3 linked regions of the Bombyx mori genome follow. The main gene of each other region encodes a partner of the protein of the gene in region 3 in a complex. Links are inferred from orthologs where the notes say so. Each region holds a gene or a part of one and is shown on either strand. Other genes may lie near its edges. The genes, in order: structural maintenance of chromosomes protein 2, structural maintenance of chromosomes protein 4 and condensin complex subunit 2.

What was found.
Region 1: condensin complex subunit 2 (region 3) and structural maintenance of chromosomes protein 2 share a complex: the UniProt entries of both Homo sapiens proteins name them as parts of the condensin complex. The link is inferred for Bombyx mori from reciprocal best matches to the Homo sapiens genes NCAPH and SMC2.
Region 2: condensin complex subunit 2 (region 3) and structural maintenance of chromosomes protein 4 share a complex: the UniProt entries of both Homo sapiens proteins name them as parts of the condensin complex. The link is inferred for Bombyx mori from reciprocal best matches to the Homo sapiens genes NCAPH and SMC4.

What each region holds. Positions count from the first base shown.
Region 1 is NC_085131.1:14,292,353-14,303,478, forward strand, and holds the start of structural maintenance of chromosomes protein 2, read right to left. Parts: upstream 5,424-11,126; 5' UTR 5,282-5,423; coding exon 5,114-5,281; intron 4,723-5,113; coding exon 4,573-4,722; intron 4,170-4,572; coding exon 4,008-4,169; intron 2,437-4,007; coding exon 2,326-2,436; intron 2,039-2,325; coding exon 1,917-2,038; intron 1,601-1,916; coding exon 1,444-1,600; intron 1,124-1,443; coding exon 932-1,123; intron 251-931; coding exon 115-250; intron 1-114. Other genes in the region: nuclear pore complex protein Nup133, read left to right, coding at 9,457-9,566, 9,643-9,761, 9,972-10,186, 10,504-10,699, 10,916-11,031. UniProt on the Homo sapiens protein: Central component of the condensin complex, a complex required for conversion of interphase chromatin into mitotic-like condense chromosomes.
Region 2 is NC_085134.1:4,028,737-4,039,144, reverse strand, and holds the end of structural maintenance of chromosomes protein 4, read right to left. Parts: intron 9,894-10,408; coding exon 9,755-9,893; intron 8,704-9,754; coding exon 8,524-8,703; intron 7,772-8,523; exon of another isoform or gene 7,744-7,771; coding exon 7,561-7,743; intron 6,967-7,560; coding exon 6,837-6,966; intron 5,398-6,836; coding exon 5,280-5,397; intron 3,434-5,279; coding exon 3,250-3,433; intron 2,228-3,249; coding exon 2,069-2,227; 3' UTR 1,985-2,068; downstream 1-1,984. UniProt on the Homo sapiens protein: Central component of the condensin complex, a complex required for conversion of interphase chromatin into mitotic-like condense chromosomes.
Region 3 is NC_085117.1:9,007,875-9,017,465, forward strand, and holds the end of condensin complex subunit 2, read right to left. Parts: intron 9,162-9,591; coding exon 9,034-9,161; intron 8,763-9,033; coding exon 8,559-8,762; intron 7,939-8,558; coding exon 7,698-7,938; intron 6,901-7,697; coding exon 6,729-6,900; intron 6,122-6,728; coding exon 6,011-6,121; intron 5,646-6,010; coding exon 5,343-5,645; 3' UTR 4,698-5,342; downstream 1-4,697. Other genes in the region: cytochrome c1, read left to right, coding at 383-531, 840-966, 1,530-1,647, 2,268-2,449, 2,618-2,848. UniProt on the Homo sapiens protein: Regulatory subunit of the condensin complex, a complex required for conversion of interphase chromatin into mitotic-like condense chromosomes.

The sequences.
Region 1 (11,126 bases), on a different chromosome or scaffold from region 3:
GTTGATGATATATACGATATTAGTCTTTTATCTGTGACACCTGTAGCCACTATCAACTTACGACAAGTGAGGTGAGATAAATTTCTACTAGTCTGTCATAACGTCAAGACGCACCCATTAGCTGGTCCTGCAGCGATTCAGAAGCATCTTCCTTCCCGGTGCTCACGGCCAAGAACTTCTGTTGTGCTTCCGCTAAAGCTTTCTCACTGGTCTCACTAGATGTGCGAAGGTTCTCGAATGTTGACGAGACCTTTCGTAAAATAGTAATAGTTAAATAAAACATTTTCAGTTTCTTGAATACTTATGTCTATCGAGGCAAGGATCCTACATACCGGATGTATCAAGCCATATCCGATTCCGATACAGCAATAAATTACTAAGTCAAGAGTAACGTAAACAAAGCATAAATACTTTTTGTCAAGATTTATCAAGATTATATTTTGTGAGTCCACATAAGACCAAGAAAAGACAGCCAGTGCATACCGGGTGTGAGCTAGTACTGCGAACCTGAAGAGTTCAGTGCAGAGGCCATGTTTTCTTCGTAATGCTGTGCTACACTTACAATATCGGTCATTCATTGGTTATTAAACAGATGTATTGTAGTTCTTCACGCATGTACAGGTCCGTGCCATTATAAGGAGTGTCTTTAGGACATAATTTAGTTCACATATAAAACAAGTACATATTATGGAGAGCAGGTAAAATAAATGTTTTCTTTGAGTGCATTGAGGTGTGTTGAGCTTGAGCATCACAAATATTGTTTCCACAACCACATGCATGAATAAATTAATAAAAGAAAGAGTCACCGGAAACAATTAACCAACCATTTGACTAAAACGATTCACTCTAATTTATCTTTGTAATTCGAATGTTTCCATCCAAAGACAGTTTACTTTCAAGAAGTGTCAAGTGTATCCTGCTGGGACCGCACCTCATTAAGAATCTGTTGCTTTGATGTGAGAGCCTGCTCGTCCTCAGCCAGTGCCTTTTCGAGTAGTTTGACTCTCTTCTCGTGTCCGCTCAGGGCTTCTTTGCTGCCTTTATATTGTGAACTTGCTGCTGCTTCAACCTTCTCCAAGTTTTGAAGTTCTACTTCCAAATCTTTGAGGACATTCCCACTCTCCTGATACAATAATTAAATGATTAGTGGTTTACATATAAAAAGTCTAAACTTTATCAGCTAACTACATCATCCGATGAATAATAACGACACGAATTGATAGCAGATTCCTTAAATTATGGATTAAACGCACTCATGGTTGCCTAATGCACAATGGATATCAGTTCCAATAACCATTACTATGTGAATTCTGCTCCAGATCCAGACATAAAGTGCAAGTCTCAAGTGTATCCCTTCACACCGGACCGCATAGAATGCGACAAGAGCCCCGCTCTGGGGCTGGACTCACGGACGAAAAGCGACGACTTACTGCTGTCTCTTACCTCATCCAGTTTTTTGTTTAAGTCAACAACTTGCTTATCCAGCTCTTTCATTTCTTTCTCATTGTTTTTAATAGTCTCTTTTTTCAATTTAATGTCGTCCTGCACTTGCGTGACTTTTCCCTCTGCTGCTTTGGTTTGCTCTTCAGCAGAAACATACCTGTAACGGAGATATCGTTTTAACTTTCGTGACTATGATGTGCTAAAATATTGCCTTGTTCTATCATGTAAATAAGTGGTTTAGAAGGGGAAGGTAATAAACATACTATGGACACTTGTGCATGTATACTGTAGAGAGAGATGTTCAATAAAATTGTTTTCTTTTCTTAATGTATTTAAAACAGAAAGAAAGAAGTACTCAACATACTAAGAAGTACTCAACATACTGACATTTTTGTGTTACACTGAACAGGGAGGCACACGGGCGGCCGCGCAGTCCTGTGGCGACTAGGAACTTAGGCAATGACCATACTCACTTCCAAGCGACACACAGCCTGGTGATATTCTCCAATTCTCTGACAACCTTCTGATATTCTTGGAACTGAGATCTTTCATCTTGCAGCTTCTGAAGTTTAGGTGCTATGTCTTCTCTTATTATCTATTTTGAACAGAAACAATTTTGCCACAACAGTTCTTTTAATGTATTTTCTGAGAAGTTTTAGTTCAGTTCAAAAAAATTTACATCTGATTAATTGTGATCCCTTCTACAAAATCATTATTTTATTCAAAAAAGTATTGGCAGTTCTGAAAGTCCACCTAAGTAGTCCTAGAAATCTACTAATTTGATGAAGTGATAAAATAGTTTTATTTGTGTCATATTATGCTTTAAAACGAATCGACATTTGTACAGTGTGCAGTGACAGTAAAATTGTACAATTGACTTACATCATTAAGTTCCCGGAGCTTTGCATCTTTCTTCTCAATAGTTTTCTGTGCTGCTTGTTTTTTAGCTTCATACATTCTTGTACCTGCCGCTTCCTCTACCATTGATAATATCTAACAAAAAAGTGGTATTGTAGCTGTATATATTTTAGCCTTCAGTGCAATGTGGTTATTGGATGCCAATGCTAAACATGAATGTCTCTAGTGCCAATTTACCATGTTCATGTTCTTATGGCCTTTTTATTGTTTATTGTATTTTATAATTATTAGAAGAAATTTGTAATCATTAGATCAGCTAAATTAGTTACATTTCATTTATTCACAAGGATGTCAAACACAATTACAGCACAGGTTTTTTGCCTTTTTTTATTACTTAGATAGGTCATTGAGCTCACAGCCCATCTGACTTTAAGTGGATACGGGAGCCCCGCCACCCACCGTGGGAAAAGGCATCCAAGCCTCAGTGTGCAATTACTGCCCCACCCTTGAAAAACGAAACACATTACTGCTTCAAGGCAAAAATAGGCAGAGTGGTGATACATACCTATACGAGCTCATGGGATGTTGTACTGCCAGCTCAACTTCAGTTCTCAGGGAGAGTGGTAGCATCAACATTGTCTTGTGGATATAAAACTCTTGTGCTCACAGCTTTTTTTTTATCTTAGGGCCAACAATGGCTGGGCAGCAGCCACAGAGCAAGGTTAAATGGAAATCTTCCATATCAGAAGACAAGATCTCAAGTTTACTGATATTGTGGCTAGTAAGTGTTTGAGGGAAAACAATATAAGAAACATCTTCCACCAAGCAGATAATTTTGTTCCATACACCAAAAGTCCAAATATTGTTTGTAACTGGCTTAACACATGCAAAGCTTCTTTTGAAAATGCCATTAGTGTGATTTCAAAATTTGTCAAATATTTTCTGTCCTACGATGGCACGAATTGGGAAGCATAAGGATATTACACCACATTTATTACTAAGGCTGTATGTCTCTACCTATATTTTAATCATCACAAATAGCTCAAACATACAATACAACTAATGCCACACAGTACAGAGAAAGAAAAAAATCACAAAGCAATTAAGACCTTACTAGAAATTACAGTGCACACGCTTTTAGAAAGATTAAATTTCATTCAGAGGAGTGAGAAAAATCATACGACTTAAAGTGAAGTCATATCCAAGACAAGATTTGAATGCAATCTAATGCATCATAATAGTGAAATCAGTCACTATACTTATCAAAGTACTAATCAAAGTATTTTGTAATTAGACTTGATGATTTTGATTCATAATCTATATATGTTTTTGATTATCTATATATATAAAAATGAATTGCTGGTTGTTAGTCTCACTAAAACTCGAGAACGGCTGGACCGATTTGGCTAATTTTGGTTTTGAATTATTTGTGGAAGTCCAGAGAAGCTTTAAAAGGTAGATAAATATGAAAATTCTCGGAATTCAATAAGAATAACAATTTTGTTTTTCCTTTGATGTATCCCCCGTCGGACGGATTCCTTGTGTTTGTTTTAAGTTTATTTTATACAAAAGTTTAGGTCTTGGCACTGCGAAGTCTGCCTGGTCAGCTAGTAAGAAATAATTATTTTATCCAGAACTTCAGTTCGTAACACTATTTACTAAGGTCATACAAGTAATTTAACTGCTGAAGCTGATGTATGGCTTACCTCAGGAGGTTTCATATTTAGCACCTTAGTAATCCTTCCCTGCATGATGAGGAAGTGTGGGTTATTGACATTAAGCTGAACCGAACAGAATAAGTCACTGACCCTCTTGTTTTGGACATTGATACCATTTATAAGGTATTTATTCTTACCACCCATCACCACCTGAAATTTATTTTTCAAATTGTTTCAATAATTGTTAAATAGCATGTTCTTTATATTAGTTTGATTAAGCAAATTTGGATGAGGAAATATAACTTTTGAATGCTATACGTTATTTCTTGTTTTGTTCAGCAAAGCTTATGAAATTTAGCTTGGTTTGCTAATAGTAAAAGTCAAGCTACTTGATCGAATGATTTGTAAATGATGTATTAAATCATGTCATCTCAAACATTTGAATATTGATTTATTAATCATGTATATATTCTTGGAACTATTGTATTCTTGGAACTTTTTAATAAAGTAATTTAATGGAAGCTTCATGAACCTGGAAACTTAGCAAATGGTTATTCAATTTCTAGATGTTTTGTTGATTACTAATTACTATTCCAATATAACTATGTCTTACCTGTCTAGTGACAGTAATCTCATCATGATTCTCATAGCCAATCGGACATTGTCTCTTATCTCTGTTGTCGAAGGTAATGCTAACTGTTGCTTTGGTGATACCTGCCTGCCCATGCTTGTAAATAAGCTCCTGCAAGCTGCTTGCTCGTACCTATTTTTTTATAATAAATTAATTAATAATTTAGGCACAAATTTTGTTAAACAAGCATTTTGACCAAGAAGCAACTATGTTTTATTGTTGGAATATTCATATTATTTATAATTGTACCCAGAAAGAAGCAGAAAACATCATTGTCGAGTTTACTTCGCATCAATCGATATTATTGTTGTACTAGAACTTGAAAAGTGTATGTTTTTATTTTCAAGTCATCATGTATTCTGATGCCCATAGGATTTATGTCGCATATTTGATAGGTAATTGAATATTATCATGAATAAACGCTGCTACTATATCGCCATAACCCTTAACAGTGAATGGTATTTGGCGGGAAATAAATCAGCAACAGTTGTTATTTTGTTAGCAATAATAAACTACAACATACATTCGATAAATTTGTGATTCCAAGTACGAAACATATAGAATCTAAGATATTTGATTTTCCAGTCCCATTTAGACCAGTGATCGCATTAAATTCTGGATCAAATCCAGTAATTTCCACTCGGTTTCCGTAAGACTTGAAGCCATCTAACACTATTGACTTAATAAACATGTTCAGATCATAAAAACAACAGTTATAGAACAAGAAAATTCATTAAAAATTTAAACTCATACGAATTCATCAAGCGTTAGAGAAGCCGTTGATTTTTTTATGAAATCAAAATTGATTTGTGTTTTTAAAATATTTTTGACATTCATTGATTAATGACATTGACACATTATATTTTTCTCGACAACATTTTTTTTAAAGATTTTAATTCGATTTAGATTAACAATATGGTAAAGAGGTAAAAAATTATAAGTGTACCGATTCTTTTTCTTTTCTTTATTGCATACTAGCTGACCCGGAAGACTTCGTAGTGCCTCTATCAATAAATAAAAGACTTAAACCTTTGAAGAAAATAAATTTAAAACAAACAAAAGGAATCCGTCCGGCGCGCGGCGGGGGGGACATCAAAGGAAAAACAAAATTGTTATTTTTATTTAATTCCGAGCATTTTCATATTTATCTATCCTTTTAAACCTTCATTGGACTTCCACAAATAATTCAAGACCAAAATTAGCCAAATCGGTGCAGCCGTTCTCGAGTTTTAGCGAGACTAACGAACAGCAATTCATTTTTATATATATAGAAGAAGAAGATAGATAACATCTCAGATTCAAATGTAATAGATTCTGATTCGAACTAAAATAAATTGTAGTAAGTACAGAAAATGAAGTATTTTAACCATGTAGTGAAAGTTCATAAGCGCAAAAAAAATCATAGGCCGTGGCTTCGGCCGTGGACGTGGACTTGACAACTTCCAAAAAGTCTACAAACTCAGACATTAAATCTCACCCTTTTATAAGTTGTAGCCCAAAGAATAAAACGCCCGATGAACTAGTATCATTATAGCGTAATCGTATAGCATTAGAACTAATGTCCAACAAATCGAAAGCAGGGCGGATGGATCTACTAGGACTTGTCGATGTAAATGACAGTGGCTGATTTTTGCACGAGCGTGAGCTAGAATGTAGTCAATAGTGTCTTTAATAAAGCTGTTATCATATAGCATCGATATCAAGAAATAGTGCTTCTATATCTCAAACAGAATAAGATACCCAGCGAGGATGAACTCTTCTCCGATGGCAGGCGGTGCGATGGTAAAAGTGAGATGATGGAATCATCTCAAAGAATTCCTCATAGCACTCCCCATGGAACATACGGTACAAAATACAGAGAAAAGCGAAGTCCTTCCGCAGACCCAGAGGTTCCAAATGATCCGTGAGATCCGGGATTATCGACAATCCGAGCGGCCCTTTTCTATATAGAGTGAAATCGAAGTAGCTCGTATTTGGTAACCCTAGCCCAGAGATGAAAAGGCTTTGTCCAGGCGTGAAGTACTGCTTTGCTCTGTTGAGGACTTCCAGCATCTTGGACGCCAACTTGGCTTTGCCTTCCAAATGACTCCAAAATTGGACAGACCCCAAGTATCCAGGTATTCTCGGAAGGTTGCAGGGATACTCCTTGGATTTGGCGCCATAACAAAGGGGTCCTTCTTCGTAGTTAACGCGCAAACTTATGTCTTCAATGGATTGAATTGAGCGAAGTTCAATTCGCCCCATTCGGAGATTAGCTTCGGAGAGTTCTCCACTTCAGACACAAGTTTTGATCGTCTCTCTTGCACCACGCTCCGTGAGAGACTCTGATGGCCGATATATCGCGCATCCCCCTTACTGTCATCCGCATAGCAATGCATATCATCAATAGACATCATGTCATTGACATTGATATACAGGATGAAAATCATATACTTCAGGAGTTGTGCATTTTTTATTCGCTCCATCACCTTGGAAAGTAAGGAACTTATCGCGGTAGGCCTATAGCTCGATGGCTCCGACCAGTCGCCCTTCTTGGGGATAGGGTGGACGTGAAGGGGTCTTCCATGAAGACGGATACAATAAGAGAGGCGATACAAATGCGTTAGCGCAGGTGTCAACTCAGGGGCGCACGTTTTCAGAACCACTGCGAGGATGCAGTCTGGCCCACTCGACTTATAGACGTCCAGGAGTCGGAGCTCCCGCCTGACTGCATACTGTGTGAAGCAGATCTCCGGCAGGGAGCTATCACACCGGAGGATGTTCGGTGGTATGGCACCCCCGTCGTCCACAGTCGAGTTCGACCACGTGCTCCGACTTAATAAGTTCATGACTGTACACGACCCGGTCTGTATGGCTGTTTCCGAGTCGTGTAATAATATTTTCTGCTGTCTGTTTGTGCGCTGGTAGAAGACGGCTGTTTCTTTCGATGGGTTTCGGCTTCTGTAGCGAGGTTTCACAGGTAACTGTCTGGTTCACTGGTAGCTGATTCACTGGTGGTTTTCTGATAACTGTACTATTGGAGAACTGCTGGTAACTGTTTCTGTCTTGCTGATGGTTCTTTGTCGAAGATTCACTGGGAACTGTTTCTGTCTTGATGTTTCTATGTCGGAGATTCGCTGAGAACTGTTTCTGTCTTGATGATCTGCTGAGAACTGTTTCTGTCTTGCTGATGTTTCTATGTCGAAGATCCACTGAGAACTGTTTTTGCCTATAAATGGCCATCCTTTTATATTTATTTCAGTACCCCATCTCGCGACGCGCTATCGACGCGCCACTTTTGGAGGGTCCCTTGATCTGTATGTTACCGTAGTGAAAGCGCTCCACAAATCGTTCCTATTGGTCTATTCACATTCTCTGATCTGATACACTAACATATTGCATATTAAATAATTTAAGATTATACAATTTTGTTACGTAATTACTTATTAACTATATTAATTGTATTTGTTCGATAAAACTATTTAAAATCAGTTTCGTCCTGCACAATGACAATTCCGCTAACTTTTCGAACAACATTCGCCGAACCCTTAACTTGAACGCGCAACGGTTAGTAATAGTCCTGATCTCAAGAGCAAGCGCATTCCATAGCAGAACAGATTGCACGACGATAGAGTTACGAACATAACTAGAACTATGTGTGGGACAACGAATAGGTTAAAAATAAATCGAATGCAGTTATTAAGAAGACGATCAAGTATTAAAAAGGTCTGCATTCAGGTCAAAATAACACACATCACCGTAATCCATTATAGGGAAGATCAAGGCTTGTACTAGCATAGTCTTAGTCGCTGATGGTAAGAAATTCTTGAGGCGATGCAGAGCACGAAGAATTCCAGAGGTTCTTTGTCCATCGTAAGATATTTGAGCTTTCCAGTCGAGTGTGGAGTCTATGTAAAGGCCTAGGTTCTTAACCACGGAACTTAGGGGAATCACTGTACCATTATAAAATATTGATGAGAGTGATATAGTAGTTATGCGTTGAACCATACGAGGACTACCCACAATAATGGCTTGGCATTTCGCTGGATTCACGGTTAAGCCAAACTTAGTTGACCAACTACATAATAATATGTAGTCCAGATCCCTATTTAACTGGTTTATTGCCTGAGAAATATATAAATGTAAATGCCACCATCGATCTAGAGACTTGTCTTTGTATAGTGTACTAATTCACCTACATTAAATTTTAACGCAGGTTTAAATTGTTTTTCCTTAATTGTGGAAGTCATTCCTGAACATTATTCAAATATATTTTTTGCTAGGTTTGTGGACGAACTCATGGCCAACCTGGTGTTAAGTGGTTACCGGGACCCATATATATATATCAACAACTTAAATGCCGCCAACCATCTTGAGATTTCAGTTTTAAGTTTAATTAAACAGTTAACAGTATAATGGCTGCCCAAAACTTCAAATCGAAAAGCATTACTGCTTTAAGGCATAAATAGGTAAATTTGTGGCACTACCCAAGTATTTCACAAAAAAATTGATACGACTATCGAGTGATACGCTCGATACGAATATATTTTTAGACCACGACAAAGGCAAGTTAAACAAAGCTTACTCTTTAGCTGTAAATAATGGTATCTTATAAAATAAAACTGTCATCAAAATGTTTTGTTAAGTTTTTTCGTTAATAGGGATCCCTGTGAAATATTCAAATTGTAATATAATTTGCAACATTGTTGAATAAGTCTGTTGAAACGCTACATTTTAACCTATGTCCCTTTGCATTTCAATTAATGCTAAAGAAATGTTTAAAAAAAGTTTAAGAACATGGAACATAAAAACGATTTTTATTTGACGTTTTGAATTATTTTGCTTGAGCAGGGTCGATTCATTTGCATTTTATTTTAGTTTATAGATATGGATTTCAATACTACAGGAGCGATGAGAAGTCCGTTCTCGCCCCGGGTAAGACAGTCCATTTCAGGGCGAAGGCCTGGCGGCCTATCTTCCTTGAAAAAAAGCCAAAGGTGTGTTTCTTAACCTATACCTGTTATGTTTTATATAAATTATTGTCTTTCTCTTTATTTACGGCTTTTATTACAGTAAATTTATGCAGTCACAAAGCGAACAAACTGGCGATGTGATCTATAAAACTCCATCGATGACACTAGAAACGTACGGGGCACCTATGCCAGTGATGGTCACAGAGGCTCTTGCGTTCGGTTAGTTACCGATCAACACAACGTCCTATTAATTACAATATCTGAAAACCATGAGCATTTTTCATTCCAGACATTTCGAAAAAAATCGTAGTAGGGTAGACAAAAAATCATTCATCAGTCATTTGGCTTATTTGTATCAAAACCTAAAATTTGGACCTGCTGTAGCATGATTGCTTAGATTAAATACTGTAATTCGTTTTAAATTCAAAGCAAGTGGAGACATCTCAGTGCGCCTCTCGACCTGTGGCTGGTGTTGGGTAGTGTCTGGTCGTCGCATCCTGGCTTGGGAGCAATCTCCAATAGATACTGATGAAGATCCAGCCAATGTGACTGGCATATCAGCTGCTCGAGAGCTCACATTACCTCAAACAGATTTAGCTCACAAGGCTGATTTAGTTGTACTGTTTTATGGAAATGACTCTCAGGTAATCAGAAAAAATTGCTAAACATATGTATAACTATAAAAAACTGAATTTTAGAATTTATTTATTTATAAGAGAAAAAGACATGAAAAATACATTTGGAGCCTTTGCTCCAAATGTAAAGGGAAGCATTAGTCTTAAATTTGTGGAGTCTCCTGAGATATTTACCTTCACTATAAAGTTTTAAATGCCTTTTCAACAGTCACAAACTGAAGAATTATTGAAACCACATTTATGGTTTAACCCCATTAGCATAAGAAACAAAAAATTTAACTATATAAGCTATTAAGAAAAAAACTATACCAAAAATATTGTTATAGATGCCATCCTGTATTGGAGTTTCACCTGAGGGTGTGATTCGCTACTGGCCCTCAGTAGGACAAGAAGAGGTTTATGTAGATGTAACATGTGAACTAGCAGGTCAAGAGTGTGAGAAACTAGGAGATTACACCAGCTCTGGCCTCATACTGGCTACTACGACTTGTACCGTGGTGCTATTGACTCCTACTGTTCTTGGTTAGTCATCTTGTTTATTTTGTTGTTGTATTTAATAACGTTTTTGTTTGGCATATTTATCTAACTTTTAATTAAAGCTGTAATTTAGTATATGTATAGTTGATCTGAAATATAAAATATGAATCTGTCATCAGCAGCAAGTACTGCCATTTTAGTTTTAACATATGTTCACGTCATAAAACTGGTTATTAAATAATACATTATATTATATATTAGATGGAAGAGCAACAGTGACTTGCTGCACTTTACGTCCACCGAGTGGTTGGCTAGGAGGTATAGGACGACGTGTATCACTGTTGTTCTTTGGATCTATGCCTGCACACACAGATACGGTGAGTATACAATATAATGTATGATCCCAATGAATCTACAACCCATTTCCAAATTTTTACTTACATATTACATGGTGAGTACCTACCACCAATAA
Region 2 (10,408 bases), on a different chromosome or scaffold from region 3:
CACAAAGTGGGCTGTGAGCTCGTCCACCCATATAAGCAAAAAATTAAATAAAAAAACAAGGTGGGACTTACCAGTACACACTCAGAATACGTTTCACTATCATTGTAATGCTGAGGAATAATATCGACGATAAGAGTATTTTATTTAACCTCTTCAATAACATTGGCACGTCTGCCAATATGCGTTTACTGGTGGTAGGACGTGTTGTGAGTCCGCACGGGTAGGTACCACTACCTTGCCTGTTTCTGCCGTGAAGCAGTAATGCGTTTCGGTTTGAAGGGTGGGGCAACCGTTGTAACTATACTTGAGACCTTAGAACTTATATCTCAAGGTGGGTGGCGCATTTACGTTGCAGATGTCTATGGGCTCCGGTAACCACTTAACACCAGATGGACTGTGAGCTCGTCCACCCATCTAGGCAATAAAAATAAAAAAAGTGTGTGTGTCCGCTCCGACGCACGACTGGAGTTTACTGGATATAAAAAATTAAACGAAACAATACGAGAAATAGTTCTATATTACGACAACACGATACACTACAGATTATTAACAAATTAACGAGACACAAAACAAACGACTAACAAATATATGAAAATACAATAATGAGAGAAACGCGCGATCAGTACGAGGCTTTGTGGCGGACTGCCGGCGCAGCAGCCCGGCGTCACCTGCGATAACGCGGCCGCGCGTTGGCTCCTGATTGGCGCGCGCACGCATCACGCAATCAGGAGCCAATCAGGCGCATAACGCATTTCGTGTGACATGCTAGTACGATTTTGGTCCCCATAATTTTCATACCCCGGGCCTATATATGTAAATCGATTCTAAAGGAGTAAACTCCAAAAAAAACCTTAAAAGACCACAGATGTGGACATTTTATTTAAGTCACTAATGTTTGTGAACTTTTTTTAACTTATTAAATTGTTTTTAAAAAAATGAACAAATTGCAATAAAAATAAAAAAAAATTTTTGTTCTTCAAAAAAGTCTACTATAAAAGTTCATTATCACCTTTTAAAAATTAAACATTCCATGCACTATTGATTGTAATTTGGCTTTCATAATAATAATATATATGTGAACATATTTACCATGAAGAATACATATATGAATAAATTTAGATTCATTTATACGATTTCAAATTTCTAGTAAATGAATGTGAACATGACCTCTATTGATCAATAAAACAGCTAATTAACTAAATTGAAATCTATCATTGTAAATTTGCATTTCTAATTTATAAGAATTATAATATTTTCAAATAATTATATTACAAAATACTAGACAATGCCCTGTTTCATATTCGATAGTCAACGGTAATTGTTAAGACTGTTCTTACTGGCGATATAATCGCTTTATTTATTATTTCATATATAGATATATTTAACGTGAGGTCGTTACGATACGATTTCATTCCTCACAATATTATTGTATCTCTTACCGTACCTATTAAAATTGTTAAATTGCATGAATATTTGAAGGAAGAAAAAAAGGTCATCCGACATTCAAAACCCTTAATTTTAAATACGCTAAGCGTTTACATTAATGCAATATTCTTAAAACGAAAAATGTAACCAGTTGTTTAAATATAACAAATAAAGTGTGATTTTGAATGCCGGAAAACGGTTTTTAAATTGGGATGAAGTTATGCAAAAGTACCTTGATTGAATTATACATTAACAGTAACTAATCCCAGCAAACTATCCAAAAAAAGCTATTTCATATACCAAGTCTGTGTCACTACACATCATGATATGTAACATTTTAGTCTCAGCCTGATTATAACATAAATTATCCATAGGATATGCCATAGGTTAAGGATGATTATATCGTTGCCTAATTTGATAGTACAATTCAAATTTATTATACATTACTATGCTTTATAAAGTTACATATTTAACCAATTTTAATCAGACACATAAAACGCATTCATCTTGCATAACCACATCCAAATCGTTTATTAAAGAAACAGTATAATATAAACTGTTTGTTATTTAATTAATTTATTTATTTTTTATTGTAAAAATTAAACAATATTCATGAATTAATACATAATAAAACGAGTTTTATTCACGCACCGTCCACACGTACTTGCTCCGGTAGCTGGTTCTCAATCGTTATAGACTTTGTGCAGTCTTCAGTTTTGTATATACCGACCAAACGATTCGACACCTCAAACATGTTGTATCGAAGCGATATGATTATGAATTGAGCGTTCTTCGTTCTTTCCTGAAACAATCGAATAGAGTTATAGACGACACTAGCAAAGAGCGGCTAGTATTAATACTGATGATTTACTGGTGGTAGGACCTCTTGTGAGTCCGCGCGGGTAGATAATCACCGCCCTGCCTGTTTCTGCCTTGAAGCAGTAATGCGTTTCGGTTTAAAGGGTGGGGCAGTCGTTGTAACTATACTTGAGACCTTAGAACTTATATCTCAAGGTGGGGGGCGCATTTGCATTGTAGGTGTTTTGGGAGGCTTAAACGACGAAAGGGAAGATCTTCCACCGAGCGGGTGATATTTGCTCGGTAGACCGACGGTCCGAATATTGTTGTTCGGAACTTGTATATATGCAAGCTTATCTTGAAAATATCGTAAGTGAGATTCAGGCATCTGTCAAATATCTTGCGTTGTATGATGGCTACCCGCCAGTGTCTATCGGATCATAATAAAAAAAAAACCTAAATAGCCATTTGATATTCACGGCATATTTACGGAACACATATCTCGTGGATAAAGAGCTCTTACTGTATCTGTACTATATCTGCGAGGAGTGAAGTTGTGTGATTTGTTTTATTTTGTCTATTGTAATGTTTCTTTAGGATTAAATGTGTAGTAACGGTGGTTTATTAACTGTTTAATATCTGTGAAAGTGCACAAATGTGGGAAAATGAAACAAAGCCGCTAGACGTAACTTCTAAAAAGTCCACTGAAAATATCTTAGTAGATGACCACTATTTTACTGAGATTATATTTCATCCCATATCATCTCATTTCATTTCACTCCATATTTATCATTTTTCATAAAAAATAATAATTTAAATTAAAATAAGACATGACTTAAATGTCTTAGTTACCAGGTCATAAAATCCCTCAAAAGAAAAAAATATATATTTTTTTTCTTTTGTAGGCAGACGTGCATACGGCCCACCTGATGGTAAGTGGTCACCGTCGCTCATGGACGTCAGCAATGCCCGTATTTAATAATATGTAATATTATTATAATATATTAATATGTAAAGGTCACCGACCTTAATATAGTTTGCCACGATCGAAACGTTTTTGAAGTCCAAGGCCGCGTCTATCTCGTCCATGACGTACAGAGGCGTTGGTTTGTAGTAATGTAAAGCGAAAACCAGGGCCAGTGAGGATAACGTCTTCTCGCCGCCCGATAAATTCGATATGTTCTTCCAGGACTTGTTCGGCGGACGCACGCTGTAAACAAAACAAGAGTTATTTAGGTGTCGTGAGATTATTATTTTTTTTACTGGCCGAGTCCCGCGATGTTATCTGCGGTTATTTTCGTACCGCGAGTGACGCCGCGGGGCTAAGCAAGTCTAGAAAAAGTAGCCTAAGTTACTCCTTATATCATGAGCTACCTATTAGTGGAAGTCTCGTCAAATTTGGTCCAGCCGTTCCAGAGATTAACCGGAACAAACAGACAATAATTTTTTTTTTTTTTTCTACCTATCCTGATAGCCTTGAGAGGCTATTTCAGCTTCACCCTAACGTTTGTAGGTGAGCTCACGGGGCTCAAACCGGAGTGTTGCTAACACTGCCCCTAGCAAGAGCAGAGCTTCGCAGAATCTACCACCGGATCGGAAACGCGACCCACTGAGAAGATCCGGCGAGAAACTCAGTGGGCTGTGCCTATGGGCTAGTTCGCTCGTCGAGCCCTTCGTCGCAAGCGACGGGTTCGACGAGGACGGTGACCGGGGAAAAATTGTGAAAAATTGTATGTGTTACCGACAATCTGTATAATACAGTATTCTATACAATACTTAGGCAATGTATAGAATACCTAAAACGTTAAGGTAAAGTATGTAATATTTTTCATTTTATACTTTGCCTAGGCATTCTATACAAAACCGAATGCGCTGCCCGTAATGTGTGTAAAAGAACTGATTACTTAACTTTTAACTAATTACTTAGATTAGATTATGTTAGTTAACCCAGAAGAATTTTAAATTCAATGTTATTTGATTGTGATTTTACAATAAATACCTATGAATATAAAGATTGTTTTTAATCAAAACTAACTACTTATTAATTGTTAATTTTAATAAAGTTGATTTTAAGCAAATCTTATGTGCTATTTTTGTCTGTCATTTTATACTCTTCTGCTTATTTACTTACATAACATTGATAAATACAGGCCCAAATATAGTTATTTTACACATTATGTATAGATTTACTTTTTATAGTTTAGATGAGTGGACGAGCGCACGGCCTACCTGGTGTTAAGTGGTTAGCGGAGCAAAAAAAAAAACTAGACGGTAAATTCCGCCACCTACCTTATATATGATATGAGTACTAAGGTCTCAAGTATAGTTACAACGGCTGCCCCGCCCTTCAAACCGAAACGCATTACTGCTTCACAGCAGAATAGGCAGGGCGGTGGTACCTACCCGCGCGGACTCACAGCACATGCTACCTACCACTAGTCGAAATTTTGCATTTCAGACATTTTAATCGCATATATCGAATCGGCGCCATTGCCTTAATACTCTTTAGAAATAAACTTACATTACGAAGAATTAAACATTAAAATATATGCAATTGAGACTTCGAGATGAAGACCAGTCAAGGGAATTATAATTTTATTACTAAACACATAAGAGGCTTTATATAAAAATACTCCATAAATTATCATAGGCCAGTACGAATATATATATTTTTTTCCTTCCTATTCTAGTAGCCTCTAGGGGTTATTCTAGATTAGCCGAGCTTGTAGGTGAGCTCACGGGGCTCAAACCTGAGGACGTTGCTAACACGAACCCTAGCAAGAGCCGTGCTTCGCAGAATCTACCACCGGATCGGAAACGCGACCCACTGAGAAGATCCGGCGAGAAACTCAGTAGACCGTGTCTGTGGGTTAGTTTACTTATCGAGCCCTTCGTTGCAAGCGACGGGTTCAACGAGGACGGTGACCGGTGCTTGAGGTACCTAAAAGCACCGTTAGTGGATCGGGAGGATCCAAAATGACGTGTTTGGGGCGACGTCGACTGCTTTCCATTCGGTCCGCAGGATCGGGTATAGTACGATCCTTAAAACAAAATACCTGAATATAATCCCTTCGGAGAATGGATCCAGCGAGTCAACAAGTTCTAGTTCAGCGTCGCCTCCCAATGTTATCATTTGGTACATCTCTTTCAGTTTCATTGTTATCGTATTGAATCCTGGAAGGAAAAGTTTATTTTTTATTGTACAGAATTGGAGTTTCGAACTTTACACTAAACTAGCGGCCCGCTCCGGCTCCGCTCGGGTCTTTAACAAAAATTTCAACGATATTTGACGTTGTTTTATTTTTTTAAATAAAAGAACACTTATTGCGACATAACTACAATAGTTAGACATATGCTGTCCCGACACTTTTGGTAAATAATAATGTGTTCTACAAAGCAGTAGTACATTATTTTATTATACCATCAATAGTTTTCGCAGGCACGCGATGTAAAGATTATTTTAGGTAATTTTTGGAGTTTACTCCTTTAGAATCGATTTACATATATAGGCCCGGGGTATGAAAATTATGGGGACCAAAATCGTACTAGCATGTCACACGAAATGCGTTATGCGCCTGATTGGCTCCTGATTGCGTGATGCGTGCGCGCGCCAATCAGGAGCCAACGCGCGGCCGCGTTATCGCAGGTGACGCCGGGCTGCTGCGCCGGCAGTCCGCCACAAAGCCTCGTACTGATCGCGCGTTTCTCTCATTATTGTATTTTCATATATTTGTTAGTCGTTTGTTTTGTGTCTCGTTAATTTGTTAATAATCTGTAGTGTATCGTGTTGTCGTAATATAGAACTATTTCTCGTATTGTTTCGTTTAATTTTTTATATCCAGTAAACTCCAGTCGTGCGTCGGAGCGGACACACACACTTTTTTTTACCTATTGGGATACATTATTGGAGTTTTAGTAAGGATCCCTAATATTTTTCAAAAAAGATTATCGCCTATGTCACTCGGTGTAGCTTCCAAACAATGTAAGAATTTTTCAAATCGGTTCAGTAGTTTCGGAGCCTATTCAATACAAACAAACAAATATTTCCCTTTTATAATATTAGTACAGATGTCTCTGCAAAGTTTTACTACATCGAGTAGAAATCTAGGAATATTTTTGAGAAGTCTGACATAACTTGAACCCCTCCTGACCTTGAGTAAGATTCCCCAGGGTTAAAAACATACTTACGGCTCATATTTTTACGAATTTGCTTTTGTAATTCGTGATAAGAACACGTTTTTTTTTTTATTGCATAGATGGGTGGATGACATTACAGCCCACCTGGTGTTAAGTGGTTACTGAAGCCCATAGACATCTACAACGTAAATGCGCCAACCACCTTATAAGTTCCAAAGTCTCAGTATAGTTACAACGGCTGCCCCACACTTCAAACCGAAACGCATTACTGCTTCACGGCAGAAATAGGTAGGTCGGTGGTACTTACCGCGCGGACTCACAAGAGGTCCTACCACCAGTATTTACACCCGTTTGCATTAAAATTACAAACCCCTGTTGTATATTGTAATGGCAGTCCGTACGCACCGGACGAGGTAGGCCGGGAGGTAGCCATGACGCCTCCCTACACAATACTTCAAAACCAGTGAATACATTACCGCTTAAGAAATCAGTCGAACGTTTCTTCCTGAGTTGTTCATAAAGTGCCCTCATTTCGTTTCTCTTTGTAGTTATCTCGTCCAATTCGGCGGCGCGCTTTATATATAAGTCTTCTTTTGCTTTGTAATCCTGAAATACAACAAGGTTTTTTTACAAGAGGAAAAGTGAAGAAATGGTGGATCGTGATTTGCGCCCACCGCCACTGAGGTAAAAAACTAGGATCGAAACGACTTTAAAAATCGTTACAACTTTTAAAATAATAACATCATGTGAAATAAATAAATAAATGCTTTAACAGCAAAGCCGAAATAAAAGAAATGATTATTTTGTATCATAGTGGTTCTTCTCTTTGACACGTATGCAAATTTTTCAGGGTAATTAGACATCTTGAACATGGTGAAAATTTCATTGAAAAATTTCGTCATATAAGTTTTATATCACCCTGCCTATTTCTGCCGTGAAGCAGTAATGCGTTTCGGTTTGAAGGGTGGGGCAGCCGATGTAACTATACTTGAGACCTTAGAACTCATATCTCAAGGTGGGTGGCGCATTTACGTTGTAGATGTCTATGGGCTCTAGTAACCACTTAACACCAGGTGGGCTGTGAGCTCGTCCACCCAGCTAAGCAATAAAAAAAAATACTAAGTGTGTTAAAATGCTTTTTTTAAATGTTACCGTATTTTCATAAGAATTTGAATACATTATTTAAAACAGTATTCTGACCTGTATCGCTTGTATGTTAGGTTTATTATCTCCCACTCTATTCTTCTGAGCTGCCAGTTTATTCCTCAGATCATCCACAGAACTCTCCTCCAGTTCTTCGGGGGTGTGCTGACGCAGCGGTTCCGGCCTCTCCACCCCAGGGATGCCGTCTAATCCCGAGTCTTCTAACCTTAGACTTGATAGCTGAATACAAAATTATTAATTAGAGGTATAGTAAATGATTTAGTGATCAATAAATAGTAGAAAGCTCTACTCATTTTAAATTGTAAAGTGACTGTTTATTTTTAATAATTAATAAAACCTAGCATACATGTTCTTGGCGAATATCACTAAATATATAAAATAATATATCAGTTGAGTATATATTATATTGAGTTTAGGATACTCAACCACGTGAGTTGCAGTTTTTTTAAGGGATTTTATGACCTGGTAACTGAGACCTTTAAGTCATGTCTTATTTTAATGTATATTCATATTTTTATGAAAAATGATGTTATGGAGTGAAATGAAATGAAGATGATTAATTTGAGACATTAATCAACTGGGATGAAATTAAATAGTAGGCAGCGGCTTGGCTCTGCCCCTGGCATTGCTGAAGTCCATGGGCGACGGTAACCACTCACCATCAGGTGGGCCGTATGCCCGTCTGCCTACAATGGCAATAAAAAAAATGAGATGAAATATGAAATTTAATCTCAGTAAAATGGTGGTCATTTACTAAGATTTTTTCAGTGGATTTTTTGGAGGATTCCGAGAAGTTACGTCCAGCGGCTTTGTTTCATTTTCCCACATTTGTGCACTTTCACAGATATTAAACAGTTAATAAACAACCATTATTACACATTTAAACCCGAACAAACACTAAATAGACAAAATAAAACAAATCACACAACTTCACTCCTCGCGTTCCCGCCAAAAAGTCCTGAGTTGCAGTAGAAATAAAAAAAAAAAACAACTACCCACCTCTTTTTCCCACAGAGGGATCTTGCTCTTGCAGTCGAGCACGGACTTCTCCATTTTGCTAACAGCATTGGCAGCTTCTAAACGCTCACTCTTCAGCTTATTTTCTTTCGATTGTAATTTCGCTATCTCCTGTTTAAGCTCTGAAAATTCACTGGTGCCCTCGTTGATTTCCTCCTCCAACTGCAATGATAATCCTCCTCATGTTAAGAAGTAAGATAAACATTATGAATATATTAGGATGTGGGTCGGTTGTCGAATTATGGTGAAGTATGCAATTAATTAACCACTATACAAAATATAATATGTAATTAATAACCCTATAAACTTCTTTGTATAATGTTCTAATAATATATCAAAATATTATTACTCCTTTACGAGTATTTTCTTCCTTTGAAGTTGAATCTTTGTTTTTTAATATAGATACGAATATATAAAAGTCTCCGTGCTATTATGCAATAAATGTAGGCACAAATAAAACTTCAATCTATATATTAATACGTGAAGCAAAAAGTTTGTATCCTTTTTTACGAAAATTGCGCGGACAGAGGAGTATGAAATTTTCCTCACTTATAGAGAATATAGAGAAGAAGTGCACAATGCTAATATTTTTTTTAAAGAATGCATAAAAGATACATTAAATCAATAAAGAAAAGATTACACACACTACATACCATGTATTTGACGCACACACGCATGCATACTATTTATTGTCAAACTTTTGTTCTTGACGTCTTGTCAAATTGAGAATAGAATATGGTTTGTCTTTGTTAATATTTTTTATAGTGTAGTCTTGGCGAAATTTGTGATTATAGAAGTATAAAATACAATCGTAATAGTGTACAAACTTACAATTCCAATTAGTTATAGTCGAATTTCGACTACTGCGGGTCCTCTAGTTTCAATAATTCAATAACGTCATCTTTTCAATAACTGTTCACTTTATGTGACAACAAAACGATTTCTCGAATTCTGATCTCAATTCTCACAACTATATACTTGGCAGAATATAAAGTAGGTCTTTTTTCCGCCTACGTGCTGGGCGAAGTCGAACAGTCCAAAAACTGTCCTTTTATAGTCCAGACCCAAATTCACCGAAACAAGCAAGAAGCAAGGTGATAAGATAAGAACTAAGGAGTTGTCTCGTAATATATAAATATAGCCAAAATTACTACCAAAGAAGATCACGTATATAGGCATTTAACAGAAAAGTAATATTTGTAACCGTACACACCTCTTCGAATTGCTTTTGATATTGTTCGCTGTCCAAAACGAGTTGTTTTTTCTGTGTTTTCAGACTTTCTAGAGTTTTATCAGTTTCTTTGAGATCTGCGTCCATCTGATTGATCTTATCTTTCGATTTGTTTGCATTCCTGTTCAATAATACAAATTTTAGTAAAAGCACAATTGATCAGACAAGATGCGCTTACAAGATTACATCTAAAATGGCATATTTGTTTATGTTTTGAGCTTGGATTTAATGAGAGACTGATTGGATAGTGAATCTCCCCATCTCTTTCGCACATCTTTGTTTTAATGACAGTGACGTCATAAACACTATATGTATTTTTTGCTAATTACATTATCCATCAGAAATATTCCTAACTTGTTTACTAATAAGAAAGTTGTTGCGTTCTTAAAATTTCATAAATACACCATCAGACAGTCTTGTAGTAATGGCTAAATATGTCTTAAGTGTAATATCTGTCGTGGCGTGCAACCTCTTTTACAGGACATACGACTATTTACAGACTGTCTTAAATGCGCCACCCACCTTGAGATATAAGTTCTAATGTCTCAAGTATAGTTACAACGGCTGCCCCACCCTTCAAACCGAAACGCATTACTACTTCACGGCAGAAATAGACAGGGCGGTGGTACCTACCCG
Region 3 (9,591 bases):
GTTATGGATTTTTTTTTTCCAATAATTAACTGACAAGAATAGTTTGGCTAGATAAATTTACTCCACAAGGCTATGCTATTGTTTTTGATAAAAATAAGAGGATAACATCTCTTAAAGAGATTATCTTTTAAAGAGTTTTCCACAGTGGTTTCAATCAACCATTGAAGGAAGGAAGGCCTACAGGTCACGTACCATTTAACTAATATGGTTGTAAAAAAATAATTTACACAAAAATAGGGGTATTAAAGGGTTACAATGTTTCTAATGTGAAACAGTCTTTTTTCCAAACTATGCCATAACTCAGAGAGATAACTACTAAATCCAACAGTTTTTGATGCATTTTGTGCATGTGCTCAAATTCAATCTAATAAACGTATTCCAGTGGCTGTCCACTTTGGGAGTGGTAGGTGGAGGTGTTGGAGCTCTACTTTTTGCACTTGAGCAGTCTGTGCAGGCATCAGGCTCTGAAGCTCACCCACCTCACAACCCTTGGAATCACAGTGGCTGGTTCAGCTCCCTGGACCACGCTAGGTGAGTTTTCACTCTTAGAGTTAGAACTCTAAGCATTTAAATTCAATTTCAATAATACAACAAAAGTCATAGATAAAATTATAAAGAAAAATTAACATTAAGATGACCTTTATGATCAAAATCAAGGACGTTCAAAGTCATAATGAATATAAAAATTATGTTTATAAAACATTACTGTAAGAAAAAATACAATTTTCTTGTTTTACTGTATGAAATGGATTGTAATTGTATATACATTAGGCAAAGAAAAACATAATACCTATCAAACATCATTTGTCATAGAACACCTAGTTCCATGTTTGTTACAGTGTCCGTCGGGGTTATGAAGTTTACAAACAAGTCTGCAAGGCATGCCACTCTTTGCAGTATATTGCCTTCAGAAATTTGGTCAATGTCACCCATACTGAAGACGAGGCTAAGGCTGAAGCTGCTGAGGTCAGTCATCGGTGATTATGTCAAATAAATGTTAATTTTATCCTGATGCTATAAATAAATAAATAAATATTTACTAACAATCACGCCACGTTAACTGGTCCCGTGATAAGTTCGTAAAGAACTTGTGTTACAGGTACCAGATAACGGATATAAATGTAAGATTTTTATTATACACATACATATATTTAATAGAATCCATAACCCTGGAAAAGACATTTATATTTATCATACAAATATCTTCCCTTGGCGGGATTCGAACACGCGACCCCCCTATGTAGTGACCATGTCACTTACCACTACACCAGACGGCCGTTAAATGGCCGGCTATGATCATGTGCGAGACATTAATACCAAGCATGATATAAAAAAATGACTCTAGGGATCAATTATATTTGATGTATTTTATAATTGTCAATAACATGCCCTTTTTATTACAAGTAGTCAGTTAAAAGAGAAAAATTACTTTCATATTCATTAGTTATAGGTTTGTCCAACATAGTAAGAACAAAACTGTCATAGCAGTACAATGTATAATATTTAATTGGTAACTTGAACATTTTCAGGTGATGATTAAAGATGGTCCTGATGAGGAGGGCAACTACTTTGAAAGGCCTGGTAAACTTTCTGACTACCTGCCGTCTCCATACCCCAATGAAAATGCGGCTCGTGCTGCAAACAATGGTATGTGTAGAAAATAATAAAATGCAGAGCAAAATCTTAGTATCATTTGTGAATGGGCCCACAAGAAATCAATGTCATGAAATCCTGTAGGGAAACTAAGTAACCTTGATTTCTAAAGGTCTGGGTAGTTAATATTTTTAATAATTGCCATGCCTCTTACTATGATGGTAGATGCAGTCATGGGTATTGGTTTGAAAGATGGAAGTCATTATAAAATGAAACTGAGACATCAAGCTTACGTCTCAAGGCACATGGCTCCACTTAACAACACTTACGGTAGGCAGCGGCTTGGCTCTGCCCCTGGCATTGCTGAAGTTCATGGGCGACGGTAACCACTCACCATCAGGTGGGCCGTATGCTCGTCTGCCTACAAGGGCAATAAAAAAAAAAAAAAAAAAAAAAACTTTCACTTAATAGATTTACATTAAAAAAAATTGCAAAGGTATTATGCATTGGTGTTAAAAACATATTAGTATTATTAAATTTAATGAAATTATTGAAATAGAAGAGAAAATTTTATCTGGATTTTAAAGATCAAATTTAAATAGTGCAAGTTAATAAGTGATTATGCTTGACTCCCTAAATACAAAACTAATAATAAAAATGTTAATTGATATCAGGTGCTTACCCACCGGACTTGTCTCTGATCTGCTCGGGACGTAAGGGCGGCGAAGATTACATCTTCGCGCTACTGACTGGTTACATGGAACCTCCTGCTGGTGTAGTGCTACGTGAGGGACAGAACTACAATCCATACTTCCCAGGAGGTGCCATCTCTATGGCGCAAGTTCTATTTGACGAAGTAAGTTTCATGGATAATTCTAAACTCGTTATATATGTCCATTGGTGATATTTCATTAACAAACAAAATTAGCCTTATACAAGAAGAATAGACTGCATTATATATTATTTTCTATACACATACGAGTAATATCAACGCCCTCTCTAAATATTATATTATGTTTGGCAGGCAGCTGAGTACAGTGACGGCACGCCGGCGACTGCGTCACAGCTCGCCAAGGATGTTGCGACTTTCTTGAAATGGTGCTCAGAACCCGAACTGGACGACCGTCGGCAGATGACCATCAAAGCTATCGGCATGTTCTCCATGCTTGCCGCCGTTGTCTACTACTACAAGCGGCACAAGTGGTCCACGCTCAAGTCTAGAAAGCTCGCCTACAAGCCCGTTTCTAAGAAATAAACGCCAACAACTTACAAGTAGCAAAACAAATGTTTTAGACAATTTTTTTTTTTTCTATAGGCACAGTAACATGTTAATTGTTTATAATTAAATTAATTTATTTTATCTACCATCGCGTGTTTACTTTGTTACACGGGGTGGCTTGCTGTGACTTTGTTACCATGCGTGGTCCCGTAGACGCGAAACCGTATTATCTTATGTAATTATGTTTATAGCATTTTGCCACTGCGAAGCCGTGGCACAGTCAAATTGTAATGTTAGGTGATCTGTCGGTAACTGTGCTTGTGATTTTCCATGAAAGCTCTTACTGTGAATCAGTGTACAGTTGAATAAATGTGTTAAAATCTATTGATTTCATCTTTTCCTTGACCTTCTCTTCCAAATTATGATGCAGCCCTAATATTATTTTAATGCTAAGTGTGTTAAGTGTTAGGTGGTTTCTGGAGCCCATAGACATCTACAACGTAAACGCGCCACCCACCTCGAGATATAAGTTCTAAGGTCTCAGTATAGTTACAACGGCTACCTCACCCTTCGAACCGAAACCCATTACTGCTTCACGGCAGAAATAGGCAGGGCGGTGGTACCTACCCGTGCGAACTCACAAGAAGTCCTACCACCAGTCGTGAGCTCGTCCATCAACCTAAACAATAAAAAAACAAATTGTTGTAATTACTGGTCGTGGTGCGTCTTGCGAGGCAGTTATGTACCACCAGCCATTCTATTCCTGATGTGAAGCAGTAATGGATTCCAGTTTGTAGAGTGGGACAGCCGTTTTAGTATACAATTGAGATTTAGACCTCATGTCTCACGTAGTGATGTCTATGGGCTCCGGTAATCGTGTAACACCCGGTGGGCCGTGAGTTCATTCACCCGTCCATGCATGCAATAAAAAAATCAAATTACATGTATGGCTTGTAACAGTGCCACATCCGATTAATTTTATTTTCGTTGTTTCGATGCGCGAATGTCTTGCACAGTCGCCATTTAAATCTAAAAAGTAAATAATACTACTAGGCTAGACGAAGGAGTATCCCTGCAACCTTTTACTTGTATTGGGATACTTGGGGTCGACATTTTGAGCGATGTCCAATTTCGAAGTTATTTGGACGGCAAAGCCAAGCTGGCGTACAAAATGCTAGGCGTCCTGAACAGAGCGAAACGGTACTTCGCGCCTAGAGAAAGGCTTTTGCTTTATAAAGCAAAAGTCTGGCCTCGCGTGAAGTACTGCTCCCACCTCTGGGCCGGATCTTCCAAATACCAGCTACTTCTATTTGACTCTATAGAGAAGAGGGCTGTTCGGATTGTCGATAATCCCGATCTCACGGATCGTTTGAAACCTCTGATTCTGCAGAGGGACTTCGGTTCTCGCTGTATTTTGTACCATATGTTTCATGGAGTGGTCTGAGGAATTGGTTGAAATGGTCCCATCAATTCGTTTTTACCATCGCACCGCCCGCTACCGGAGTAGAGTTCATCCATACTACCTGGAGCCACTGCGTTCATACACAGTGCGTTTCCAGAGATTTTGCCACGTACCATCCGACTTTGGAATGAGCTCCCCTCCACGATGTTTCCCGAGCGCTATGACATTCTTCAAACGAGGCTTGTGGAGCGTACTTAACAGTAAGCAGCGCCTTGGCTCTACCCTTGGCGTTGCTGAAGTCCATGGGCGACGGTAACCACTCACCATCAGGTGGGCCATGTGGCTGTCTGGCTACACGGGCAATAAAAAAAATTAAGGATGTTTCTTATCCATCTACCTTTTTTGCTGTTGATGTATAGATTACCTCACTGCTCTTTTGATAGTAAATAATAAAAGCCAGGGAATATAAAATAAAAAACGAGCTTGGTACTTGCATACATATCTAAATATTATTCAATACTTAAATATAAAAATAAAGTCTATTCTAAAAACATCTATACAATGTTTTCACAAACTTTTTCATATATTTTGACACATGTCAAAACTTTATTTACAAGATTCAATATTTAATTACGGTACATACATCCATTGCATTTCTAATTGTGAAACGTTGATAATAGCACATTATTTAATCATCTGTAGGATAGTAAGGAAATGCGACCCTAGAAACTAATGTAATTAACTGGAATAGTGTTGCTGCAAGAAACTGACATTTATTACAATAACATTTTTTTTTACTTTCAATACACAACTTTGACATAAGGTAAGCTCTCAGATGACGCATCAAATTTATTGAATTATGTATGGATGTTGTCAAAGACAATTCGTTTTGTAGTTCAGGTAATAATGGCTTTTAGGTATTTCTTTTCTTTCAATAAATTCACTAAAAAATTAATGTAAATAACAATCAAAATTTGTGACTAACTAATATTTTATGGTCATATTTGAGATACTAAACACTAGAGTATTCAAAACACAAGTTTCGCTACAAGCCATGCTTTCAGTGGAGGTAGTGAGGAATATGCTTAAATTTATATGTATTTTAGAACCTCACCTCAAGTTGTTTTATTATTTTATCAAACCTATTATGCCAAAGTCCTTAAGGTCTTCTTGTTTCTCTAAAATCAATCCTTTTTCGTTTGCTAAATGCAAAATTGAGAGTAAAGCTAATGGTACACTTAATGATTCTCTCATATTCGGCGTCAGTTTGCTCGGAAGTCTGGAATAAATCGAAAAGAATGACGTTTCCGTGACCTCGTCTTTGGAACCTTCTGGAGTTTTTTCAGTGAGCATCTTCCAGGTACAGTTTTTCAATTGTTTCATGTCGACCTTTTTCGCCCGCATCGCGTATGGTATGAATATTTTGGCCACCTGTTGGAATACGGATGCGGAACATTATATGTTTCGTTGTAATTCTGTGTTAGTGTATTGTTGTTAGTGCAGTTGGAACAGCGCCCCTAGCGGCAAACGTTCCAACTCCATACAAATTTGAGATAACTTTCACGCTATCGAGAACATTAAAAAACTCGCACGAAGCACACAAGAGAAGAATAGAATAATTATATATATTTATCCTTGGGTATGAGTAAATCTAAAACGACATCAAGACGAAACTATTTTTTTTTGTTACAAATATTCTTAACACATACAAGACTTCTAACTCATATCCAACTGGGAATGAAACCTGTACACTGTCGTAGATCAATCGGGATCAATAATGTGACGATCGAACTTACTTTTGTTGGTGGTTCGAGCATGTCCCCGATGTCTTCGAGTTCTACGGCTTTGACTTGTTCGTGCAGGTCGCCGGCGGCCGTGGCGTCCTCGTTGCCCCACTCGTCAGCATCCTACCAAAAACAACAACTTAAGTTATGTTTGTGATATTGCTTTTTTTTTTATTGCTCTATAGATGTGTGGACGAGCTCCCAGCCCACCTGGTGTTAAGTGGTTACTGGAGCCCATAGACATCTACAGCGTAAATGCGCCACACACCTTGAGATATAAGTTCTAAGATCTCAGTATAGTTACAACGGCTGCCCCACCCTTCAAACCGAAACGCATTATTGCTCCACGGCAGAAATAGGCGGGGCGGTGGTACCTACCCGTGCGGACTCACAAGAGGTCCTACCACCAGTAAAAATTAGCTTTTCAAATATTACTTTTTTAACGACAGAATACGGTAGTATGTTTGATTATTTTTAAAACTGATTAGATTAGGTAAACAATATTAACAAGTACAACTAACAATCTTAACGAATACAAATTTTATACATACAATAAAATATCAATAATAGATGTCATTAGATTTATCGGTCAAATTGTTTAATATGAGTATCGCACGACCTCAACCAGTTGATTATTATTGTAATTAGTTGAGAAAAACAGCATCAACTGCGAGTTTCTAACATCACTGACTGGGAGAATATAGGATTGTAGAATTGTGAATGTACTCACCGGCGGTATGTTGGGACAATATGAGGCATCATTTTCATTATTGTAATCGTAGTCGCGCACCTCCTCGACCGTGACGGGCTCCTCGGGCTTGCTGTGTTCGTTGTCACGTTTCCGCGACATCGTCACTTTACGCAGTAAAAATAATTTGCAGAAGTGCGATTCGTCCAGACCTCTGCGCAAAGAATGGATTAAATAGAACTCGAAACTATCTTAGGTGCTGCTGACCTGTGTGCTTAGTGCGAGTTTTTTAATGTCCTCGATAGCGTAAAAGTTAACTCAAAGTTGTATGCAGCGCCCTTAGCGCCAAACGTAGGGAAACGTTCCAACTCCATACAAATTTTTGTAATTGGTCCTACGAAATTACTAACTTCTGATTTCGACAGAAGAGTAAACATGTTGTGGGGACCACATCTAAGGGGTAAAGACAAGAAGGAACATATAATAAAAAAAATGTGTGCGTGTACTAGTGTACACACGTAAGAAGTGAAACTTCTTTATGGCCTTATTTTTCGAAAAATGATCTACATGCAACTTTCTAGAAATTGGTTAAATAAAGTTAAATTAGATAAAGTTTAAACAAAAGGATTTTATTATCATAGACATGAATACAAAAAAGTTAAATTAGATAAAGTTTAAACAAGAGGATTTTATTATCATAGACATGAATACAAAAAAGATGGCGCGTAACGGAAAAATGTGACGCGTAACCGAAAAATGTGACGGTAAATTTTTTTCCAACGCCGATAAGGAAGTTTCACTTCAAAAGGGAAAATATTACAGTTTGATATTATCATTAAAGAATTTCCAACATTTCGAAAACTTGAGTTTTCATGGTTACCGACGAATTCGTCATTAGTTTAGAATTGCATTTAAGTTTAATAACTTTTTTTATATATATATATTTAAGATTTTTTTGTACATAGAAAGTACTAATAGTATCCTGAAGCCTGACAATAAAAAACACTCTACCTATCAATAGGAGTTTTAAAGTTGGTCTCGTTCCACGTGTGTCCCGTGGCGAGCGTCTTCCTGCTGATCATGATCTTGGCCGGCTGGATGGGCTCGTAGTCCCCGACGGGCGCGGACCGGCAGTCGAACGTGAGTCCCGCGCCTTCGAAGTCTAACTGCCGCTTCGTCCGCGCCGGCTTCTTGTTGCCGTCCGCCATCAGCCGCCCGCCCATCGATTGCGTTCGCTCGGAAAGCTTTGATGCTGTACAGCCAATGTTAAAATATGATTAATTATGTTTGCTACGGTAAATAAAGATTAAGTGAGAAAGTTAATATTTCGATTTTATTGGATTACAATTATTTATTTGTTTTTAAACTAAATAAAGTGACAGTTTATCAAATTAAACAGAAGATTCATATGTTTGGGACGGTCATTAGTTTGATAGCTAAACGAAATGCAGCACGATTCCCGAGAGATGGCAGCACCATTGCGGTAACATCGGAACTCGGCTAACTTCGATGACCACTACGACAGAGCCTAGCCGATGGAGGCGCGTAGACGCTATCACACTTACCAATCAGCATTCTTGAAGAGGGGTGTCTCCATCCTAAGAACTGTCATTCGTTTTCGTTCGCTAACGCCAAGAGAAGATTTCTAAATTGATCTAAGACAACAACTACAATAACAACAAACGTGACGTTCTAACAAACGTGATTGGTGTGCTCATTAATTCTCTTAGCTCGATCACCCTATTCGCCCCTACCATTTCTGACGATGATGTTAATAAATGTGGCTACTCAGACATATATTTATTCAATATTTAGTGAATTGAATATATAGCCCGTGCGAAGGTAGCCTTATAGATAGGTAGAATTAAGAACCTCTGTTGTTTTTGAGTCTCCAGTGCGCGGGCCCCGCCCATGCGGCGGCCAGGGAGCAGTAGGAGTACTCGAGGCGCGCGTGGTGCGGCGCGGAGGGGCGCGCGTCGGCCAGGCGGGGCGCGGGGAGGGCCACGCGCGCCACGCACGCCGCCACGGCCGCGTCCGCCTCCTCGCCGCTCTCCACGCCTCCCAGCGGCTCATCGTCTGCAAACGTTAACCTTTACTCGTAAAACGCATCGATCTTTTTTTTTTTGCTTAGATGGGTGAACGAGCTCACTGCCCATAGAGACCTATAACATACCTTACCTATTGACCTTAAAGGTCTCAATATGGTTACAACAGCTGTCCCATGGTTCAAACCGAAACGCATTACTGCTTCACGGCAGAAATAGACAGGATGATGGTACCTACCGGTGCGGACTCACAAGAGGTGTTGTTGAAAAACAACATTTATTGTACAGTTTGCAAAACTCACCATACAAATCATTGTGTAAGTCATCCTGAGGTATCGGCTCCACTTCAGCATTGACATCAAAAGCCAAGGCTTGCTGTGATAGATTCAATCTGTTCTCTTCCACCCAATTTGTCACTCTGTTTTCCCCACTACAAAATTTATAAGAATTATTTTAACCATACCCATAACATAACAATATACAAAACCACATTTTTTATTTTTATAGAATCTACTTCTATTAAAACAATCAATAAATTAATGTTAAAACTAAATTATAATTTTGCACAACACATATGATGCGTAGCTAATCATTTTGTATCAGTGTCTGATATCTACACTTTGGTATTTGTAGATTTCATCCTCAAAACATGTCAAGCAAAATAAAGTTGCATTCACAAAAATTGTTCCTATAAAATTGTTATACTAAAGTCCAACATTGGATACTATACCCAAATGTATAAAAAAAAAAAAATTTATCGCCGAGACACAATGCGCGCGCTCGACCATGAGATGTCTGATAAATTTAGATTTAGAATTGTATCCCTTGTGTTGGTTGGAACTCTTAGAAAATAGCCAAAT